2 linked regions of the Saccharomyces cerevisiae S288C genome follow. The gene in region 1 interacts genetically with each later gene. Each region holds a gene or a part of one and is shown in the gene's direction. Other genes may lie near its edges.

Evidence for each region.
Region 2: mutations in APP1 (region 1) and ATP5 together harm fitness more than expected from each alone (negative genetic interaction), as found in Saccharomyces cerevisiae (2 studies listed by BioGRID).

The regions. Positions count from the first base shown.
Region 1 is NC_001146.8:445,518-450,268, forward strand, and holds APP1 (phosphatidate phosphatase APP1), read left to right. Parts: upstream 1-2,093; coding exon 2,094-3,857; downstream 3,858-4,751. Other genes in the region: YNL095C (uncharacterized protein), read right to left, coding at 1-1,323; Rab family GTPase YPT53, read left to right, coding at 4,351-4,751. UniProt on the Saccharomyces cerevisiae protein: Mg(2+)-dependent phosphatidate (PA) phosphatase which catalyzes the dephosphorylation of PA to yield diacylglycerol. May play a role in vesicular trafficking through its PAP activity at cortical actin patches.
Region 2 is NC_001136.10:1,057,676-1,061,166, reverse strand, and holds ATP5 (F1F0 ATP synthase subunit 5), read left to right. Parts: upstream 1-2,352; coding exon 2,353-2,991; downstream 2,992-3,491. Other genes in the region: rRNA-processing protein BFR2, read right to left, coding at 1-1,540. UniProt on the Saccharomyces cerevisiae protein: Mitochondrial membrane ATP synthase (F(1)F(0) ATP synthase or Complex V) produces ATP from ADP in the presence of a proton gradient across the membrane which is generated by electron transport complexes of the respiratory chain.

The DNA.
Region 1 (4,751 bases):
TTTTCTCATCCACTGTGGTAATGATTCGCCGGATGTTTCAATATCCTTTTTACTTACAGTGGCATCTGATGTTAAGATCCTGGTTAGGTTAGCAGTTTTTATAGTCTGTAAAGTGGAATTTGAGCTAATTGAATGCACATCATTCATATCAGCGCCGCGTAAACTGGAATTCCTCCTTTGATGACCATACTGGTCAACGTTGGAGTACTCTCTGATAAGATGGTGTATATTTTGAGAAGGTAATGCACGCATATCAATGGAGCGGATAGGTTCCAATGCCGCCATAGACATATTTTTTGGGCATTTTTCATCTAAACAGTTCTCTTCTAGGAGTGTGGTAGTATTGTAAGCTCTCGGCTGGCTCGCGGTTCTACGTGCTCTCATAGTATCTATGCTACTCTCATAACTCTCTGACGTATTATAAGAATGTATTGTTGAAGCAGATGATTGGCTATCTAATGGATTTGAACCACGAGTTGCCTGTGACTCTTCGCTTTGAGTGCACGCAATAGTATTTCTTGCCTTCACCTGAACTGGTTTTGTAATCTTTGAATTCGAAGAAGTGTCTGGTAGTGACAGGGGAGCTATACTATTTGTTGATCTCCTTGAAATTGGTGGTACGTCTGCGTTTTCACCCTTTGTACCTATAGCTTCAGTGAGACTATCGCGAGCGGTGTACTTATTGTTGAAAAGCTGTTGTTCGTTTGAGAAGAAACGCTCGCTAGTATCTGTATTAGTTGTGTTTGCACTTACTGCGGGCTGTGTCTTTGTCGTTTCTGAAACCCTAACGGCGCTTTCATCGTCGTTGTACTCGAAATCGCTTTCAATCAGTCGAAACCCCCCCAAATTGAAAATGCAAATTAGAAACATTGTCAGAAATATAATGACGTTAGCCACACCTTTGTTACCTTCTTCTTCCGAAAATACAAGCCCTTGGTCCATAGATTGTAAATATGCAATTGGTAAATCACTTATATTTGGAAACATACCACCGGCAAGAATACCACCGTACCATTGTTTAGGAACAGGCAGGAATAGCCTAACAACGTATGCAAAAAAGAACCCAGAACCAAATATTAGGAGGGCAGACAGACAGATAATTCCCACAGATTTGATGTCTTTATCTTCAATATTAGCGACAATCTTGTTGAATGACAGAGAGGGTAGTAAAACTGTTAGCACGATATCAGAAATAATTCTTGTTGCTTCAACCGTAAGAATTCCCATTTTAGCCATCAGAAAGCCGACTCCTATAATCAAATAAATCTTGATTATCGGCTTAACTGACACCCATATCGCTTGACCCAGAGTAATGTGCACCATCTGATGAAAATTTGAGGTTTCAATCCCTTTCTCTGTTTGATTCTATAACTTCTCCAAAAAAATTGCGCTGACGCTAATTAGTCACTGTTTATATCTTTTTTAGCGATGATTTGTAACAATATGCCATAAAAGCGTTCTCTAACTGCGGAAGTGATGAGAATTGAATAGTTTTATTCAGAAGGCAATATATCCTAATATGGCACAAAAAGGCAACTTGTATGCACAAAATGAGCATAAGAGTTCAGGCAGAACGTTGTGCTCTTGATCCAAAGGTTAAAAGTCATCGAGTAGGAAGATATTGTAACCTTCGCGCAAACCGCAGCCGCAGCGGGTCACGTGGTCGCGCAAATGATGATGAGGGCGCGGTCTAACTTTCCAAACGAGGTTACCAACAATTCTCGGACAGATAAAGCATTAGAATAGGGTGGCAACGCCTTTACGGTTAGCTTGTTCATTGTGATTGGTTTGTGTATCTTTTCTTGGCTTTTTATGCCCACGAGACATAAAGTATACGAAGCTGTTATACTATTCGTGATCCAGGGCAAAAATTTAGCATCATTAAGGCATATATATCGCAAATAGTGGGTTGCACAAGGCTTTCAATAAACAGTGTCATATGTTTCTCTAGCTCTGTCGGTTTGTTGGCTATAAAGAGTTTGTCTAGTAATCGCCGTCTTTTCTTGGGACCATTAACACAGACAAGGACATTGAAACTTGGCTATAAGTTCCGTCAAAGGGGGAAAAAATTGCTTTGGAGAAGGAATAAAAAGATGAATAGTCAAGGTTACGATGAAAGCTCTTCCTCTACTGCTGCTACTAGCGGTCCTACTTCTGGAGACCCACGAATGGGTAAGAAACAACGGTTTATGAATCTCATAAGAACCACAAAGGATGTTTATATTCCTAACCTGACGTCATCCATTTCTCAAAAGACAATGGATGGCATCAGGAGCACTACGAATTCCTTCGAAGGTTATAATGACTTGCCTATGGAATTGCCACATAATACCACGATAACATATTTTCCAACGTATACCACAACTAATTTGGTTGACCCTGACGGTTTGAGTGCGCCTCGGAAAGATTTTGAAACTACTGTCAGATGTGCTGTTTCTTATCCAGGAAATCCTACAAGCAGGAGAAATAGGTGGTTGCTTTCTCTTTGTAAACAATATCTTAGAACTGGAACGGCGGAGGCCGATGTTGCACCTGTTGTTCCCCCTCATCTCGAAGAGGATTCTGGAGATTTAAACGACTCCCAATCAAGTATAGAAAGTTCTTTGTCTTCAAAGAGCGAAAATAGGTATTCACATATGGGCATCCAAGAGGAAGATGTTCTGAATGAGAGAATTCAAGGATTCCTGTCCAAAAAAGTTCCTAATACTCCAGTGGTGGTTGACCTATTGCCCAAAGATAAGCTCAGAGGGGATACGGCTTCCTTTTTTGGTACCACGGACTCTTATGGTAATTTACTAATCAAGGCAGAAACAGATTTTTTACCGTCCAAGATTAATATTACATTAGATACCCCTATAGAAGGCCATGCAGATCCCATATCTGAAACATTTCCGGCCAATTATGTCTCGCCCTACGGTATTGGTTTAATCAGTGATATTGACGACACCATCAAGCATACTGGCGTTACGGGTGACAGGAGATCGATGTTTCGTAATGTTTTCATCCATGATGTTCAATCGTGGGTAATAGATGGTGTTCCTCTTTGGTACAAAACTTTACATGATGTCGCAGACGTTGATTTCTTTTATGTTTCTAATTCACCCATCCAAACTTTTACTCTTTTGAAACAATATATTTGCGCCAATTTTCCTCCGGGTCCAATTTTTTTGAAACAATACTCTGGTAATTTCTTTTCCACTATCATGACTTCAAGTGCGAATAGAAAAATTCAGCCGATTGCAAATATCTTAAAGGATTTTCCCAAAAAAAAATTTATTTTGGTCGGTGATTCTGGTGAACATGACTTAGAAGCGTATACCACTACGGCTTTACAATTTCCGAACCAGATTCTGGCTATTTATATAAGATGTTGCTCTAATTCCATGAGTGATGTCCCATCGCATGATGAAGAAGTTATGAATGAAGTGAACAATATCATCGAATTACAACAACGGCCCATGCAAATGACCAAGTCTACCGTACGTACCAGGAGAAGACCACCACCACCTCCCATTCCTTCCACTCAAAAGCCATCGTTGACAGAAGAGCAAACCGAAAGTATAAGAATGTCACGCCGTAATAAAGATGAGAACAATGCTAAAAGAGTTGCCCCACCACCGTTGCCGAACAGACAGTTACCTAACTTAGACGCTAATACTTACTATGTACCATCCTCACAAAATGACTATGGCATGTATGGTGCTTTCATGGATAAAAAAGCAGATGAATGGAAGAGAAGAGTAATGGACTCAATTCAAAAATTGAGCAATCAAGACACCACATTGATGTTCTTTTCGGATCCGGCATTAAGTTTGGAAGACAGTATTCGCAGAATTAGGGAGAAGTATTCAAACTAAATACACTGTTATTTATATACATCGGGAGGGAGTTTAAAAATTGTATACACTAAAGTGACCTTATGAATTGGAGCCATTTTCAACGTTTTAGAGTGATGTTGCATCCTTTTCATCAGATCGGGAAATTAAAAAAACGGTTATAGAAGGGCTAAATGTAAATATGTAAATTTTATGAAGTCAAGAGTAAAGAAAATCTTCGGTTGCCGATCAAATACACTCTTACAAAATACCCTAAACTCAGTTTATCTTTCCATTCCAACTGATTATCGCGTACGCCTTGGTGACCAACCATACCCTAAAATGTCAATTTCCGGGGCGGAAGGGGTCCTTAAACTGCAAAGCCTCTTCCCATGTAAATAAAATAAATCCGTAGAATTTATTAAATATTGTCATATTATAAGTCGGGAAAGGCCTTCTGAATGCACGTATATTGACCAAATAGAGTTAGATTCAAATTATTTATTACATTTTTTCAGCATCGAAGTTAAGTAGAATGGATAAACATACAGCAGCTATTCCAACATTAACTATCAAAGTAGTCTTACTCGGAGAATCTGCTGTCGGGAAGTCCTCAATAGTCCTCAGGTTTGTATCTGACGATTTTAAAGAGAGCAAAGAACCTACTATTGGTGCCGCATTTTTAACAAAGAGAATTACAAGGGATGGCAAGGTCATTAAATTTGAAATATGGGATACGGCAGGCCAGGAGAGATTTGCTCCTTTAGCGCCTATGTACTACAGAAATGCTCAAGCTGCTTTGGTAGTTTTTGATGTTACTAATGAAGGGTCTTTTTATAAGGCTCAAAACTGGGTCGAAGAACTACACGAGAAGGTAGGACATGATATCGTTATTGCCTTGGTGGGGAACAAAATGGATTTGCTGAATAATGATGA
Region 2 (3,491 bases), on another chromosome or scaffold:
CATGTTGTTCCTCATCCTCATTTTCATTAAAGTTCACTCGTTGACCTAACAATCCCGCAAAGAATTCATCGATTTGGTCGTCTGACCATTTGTATCCGGATGTGATGGGGGCTTCATAATTCGCAATTGGATCTTGAACTGAGTAGTTCAATTTCCTACCCTTGGAAGCCTTAGTATCGATATTCTTCTTTAGCTTGTTGTTCGAACGAGCATTAGTTGAGGTGATTGTAATTGCTGCACTTTCAGAATTGTGAGCGTTGGAAATCTTTTTGTCAATTAAATCGTTTAGTAAAACACGGTAAAAATCTTCGTCATCAAAAACATATGGGTTTTCGGTAATGTCAATGGCATTGTTATCCTTTCTTCTTGGGTCATAGTTTTTCGGGATATCAAGCCCATCATCCGAATTCTCATTGTCATCAACACTATCTTTGACAACGGGAGAAATCAATTCTGGTAGCCTGCCATTAGCACAGTCTTTTTGGAAATACAAAGGCGTTATGTTTCTCCTGTTCAACTTTGTTCTTTTCATCAAACGGGACATATCGGATAATTGGTTTTCGACTTGTACATCTGCAGGTAAGTTGATAGCTTTGAATTTGTTAGATGATAAAGCAGCGTTACCTGATGCAGAAGAAACTTTGGTAGACCACTTGTTTAATACGGCAGTCCTGTACTCTTTTAGTTCTGAGTCTAAGCTATTAGTTTCTTGGTAAAGCTCTTTGAGAGATCTTTTTTTGGACAATTTATGCTTCGCCACCTCTTCATTTTGAGTGATATGATCGCCAAGTTGGAATTTTATTCTGAAATTTATCAACCGATTGAATAAATTATTGAACAGTTTTTCGTTTTCCTTCAGCAAACGCTTTGTTTCCTCTGAATCATCCATTTTAGCCTCTTCCCAGGACTCTGTAGTTAATGGGAGCTTATTTGCTGCAATTACAGCTTTTTGTAGTTTTATTCTCAAATCAATGATGTTGTCAAATAATTTTGTCTGTTGTAAAATGGAATAACCCTTCGAAGCATCTCTTTGAACTGATTGAGACAGTTTGTTAATAGCTTGTTTAGTCTCTTGTTGAATTAGTTTCGATAGTGCATGCCTTTTCTGTTGAGCCTCCTCCGTTTCACCGCCGTCCGCGTCTGATTCTTCTTCATCAATCTCTACTTCTTCATCTTCAGAATCTGTCCTGAATGAAAGAGCATCTTCCTCTTTTTCTTCTTCCTCTTCTTCTTCTTCTTCTTCGTCCTCATTCTCGGAAACTTCTTCATATAATGCTTGTCTTGAACCTTTAACACCTGTATATTTTGGATCGTTTAGTTCTAAACCTTTTTCTGCTCTTAACTTAGACTTTTCCACCTCCAAATAGTGCGCCTTCTTGGTTTCTTCTGTGTTGCTATTTCCATAGTCGCTTAAATCACTTTCTCCATTTTTTTCATTGTGTTGAAATAAAGATGCATTTTCCTCATCTTCAATATCGAAGTCTTTATTGACCGGTTTAATGGCGATATCGGAAATTTGATCCGCTAGTGATTTTTCCATCTTTTTTTGCTCTATATTTATTGGTAACAGTGCTTATTGTTACTCAATGTATGGTACGCTGCATACCTATCAAGATGCGACTACATATATACAATTATCTCATCTCATCGCGTATTGAAAAATTTTCCATCTTCTAATTTTTCAGAACCCATAAATTCGGGTAACGATCAGTGGAAAAAACTTAAATCCGCAGTAATAGGCTTGCAAAGGACCAAAGACAGCATATGCAGCAGTTAAGAAATCTAAGAATGCATTGTATATTAGAGTAGTATATGGAAAAGCTCGGACTGGGAGCCGTAAAATCTCTTTCCCGTAAGATCTGGCTGCAAACCTGGTCTACATAAATGTAGTACATTATAAGGGACTACCAAGAAATACGAAGCGCTCAGATATCTCTTAAAGTTCATTTTTTTGCCGGAATAATCTTGGTTTAGTAACTTATAAAACTACTTACGTCCAATAAATCGTTATATTTTATGCCGTCGTCATAAAGTGGACACTTTCGAGAGACGGTGCTGGCCAATAAGATGCTGATATTTGAAATATCATTTACCCGGGCCCGGGTGGGAAAAACAAGGAATTAAAGATAATGAAGTGATCTTTTGGCGAGATAGTAAAACTTTCAATTATCTAGGAACAATTTCAAACGCCAATTGTTAACTTTGTGTACAGTATTTCTAGTTTTTATCTCATTGAAAACAAAATTCAGTCAACTTGGAAATTTAAGCAGGCTACTGTGGCATTGAGATATTTTTCCGCAGAGTAAGAACCGATTAGCAAGTTACCGCATTATTTTTAAACCGTGGACAATCATGTTTAATAGAGTCTTTACCAGGTCATTTGCATCAAGCTTAAGAGCTGCTGCTTCCAAAGCTGCTGCTCCCCCACCGGTGAGATTGTTCGGTGTTGAGGGCACTTACGCAACAGCTTTATATCAGGCCGCTGCAAAGAACTCCTCTATTGATGCTGCCTTTCAATCTTTGCAAAAAGTTGAAAGCACAGTCAAAAAGAATCCAAAATTAGGTCACTTATTACTGAATCCTGCATTGTCATTGAAGGACAGAAATTCTGTCATTGATGCCATCGTGGAGACTCACAAGAATTTGGATGGTTATGTCGTTAACCTATTGAAGGTTCTTTCCGAAAATAACAGACTGGGATGTTTTGAAAAAATTGCGTCTGACTTTGGCGTTTTAAACGATGCTCACAACGGGTTACTTAAAGGTACAGTGACTAGTGCTGAACCATTGGATCCTAAATCTTTCAAGAGGATTGAAAAAGCTTTGAGCGCCTCCAAATTGGTGGGGCAAGGTAAATCTTTGAAGCTGGAAAACGTGGTTAAGCCAGAGATTAAGGGTGGTTTGATTGTAGAACTTGGTGACAAGACTGTTGACTTAAGCATTTCTACAAAGATTCAAAAACTGAATAAGGTCTTAGAGGACAGCATTTAACGTTAATAATATAGTTGGATATGCTCAACTCGTTTGATGTTACTTTCTTTGCCTCCCTCCTAATTTTTGATTCTGTTCAAATATATATTCTTTTCCGTGAATTTTTCCTAAACATCAAAATTACGTACATATACGAATAAATAAGAAACCCCTCTAAAAAGTGAATTTTTTTGTTCGAGACAACCATTTTAATCATATATATGTTCGTGTATCCAGGCAAACTTATATTAATCGCAAAAAAAAAAATTATAAGTGTATATATGGAATAAACATAAAAAATAATAAAAGAAGAAAAAAAAAAATAATGAAGAATTCTCATCAGTTTTCGAAGATTTCAAGAAAGTCCGAAGAACATTTAAGACCTTTTTGATAATTCAAGATGTGCATGCACAATAATAACCATTTCATAGTTGAATTTTGATGTATTCTTTCGTTACAAATCAAATATATAGTCAAAGTCACGCCTATACACTTAATAATATGTCTTGATGTATATAAAT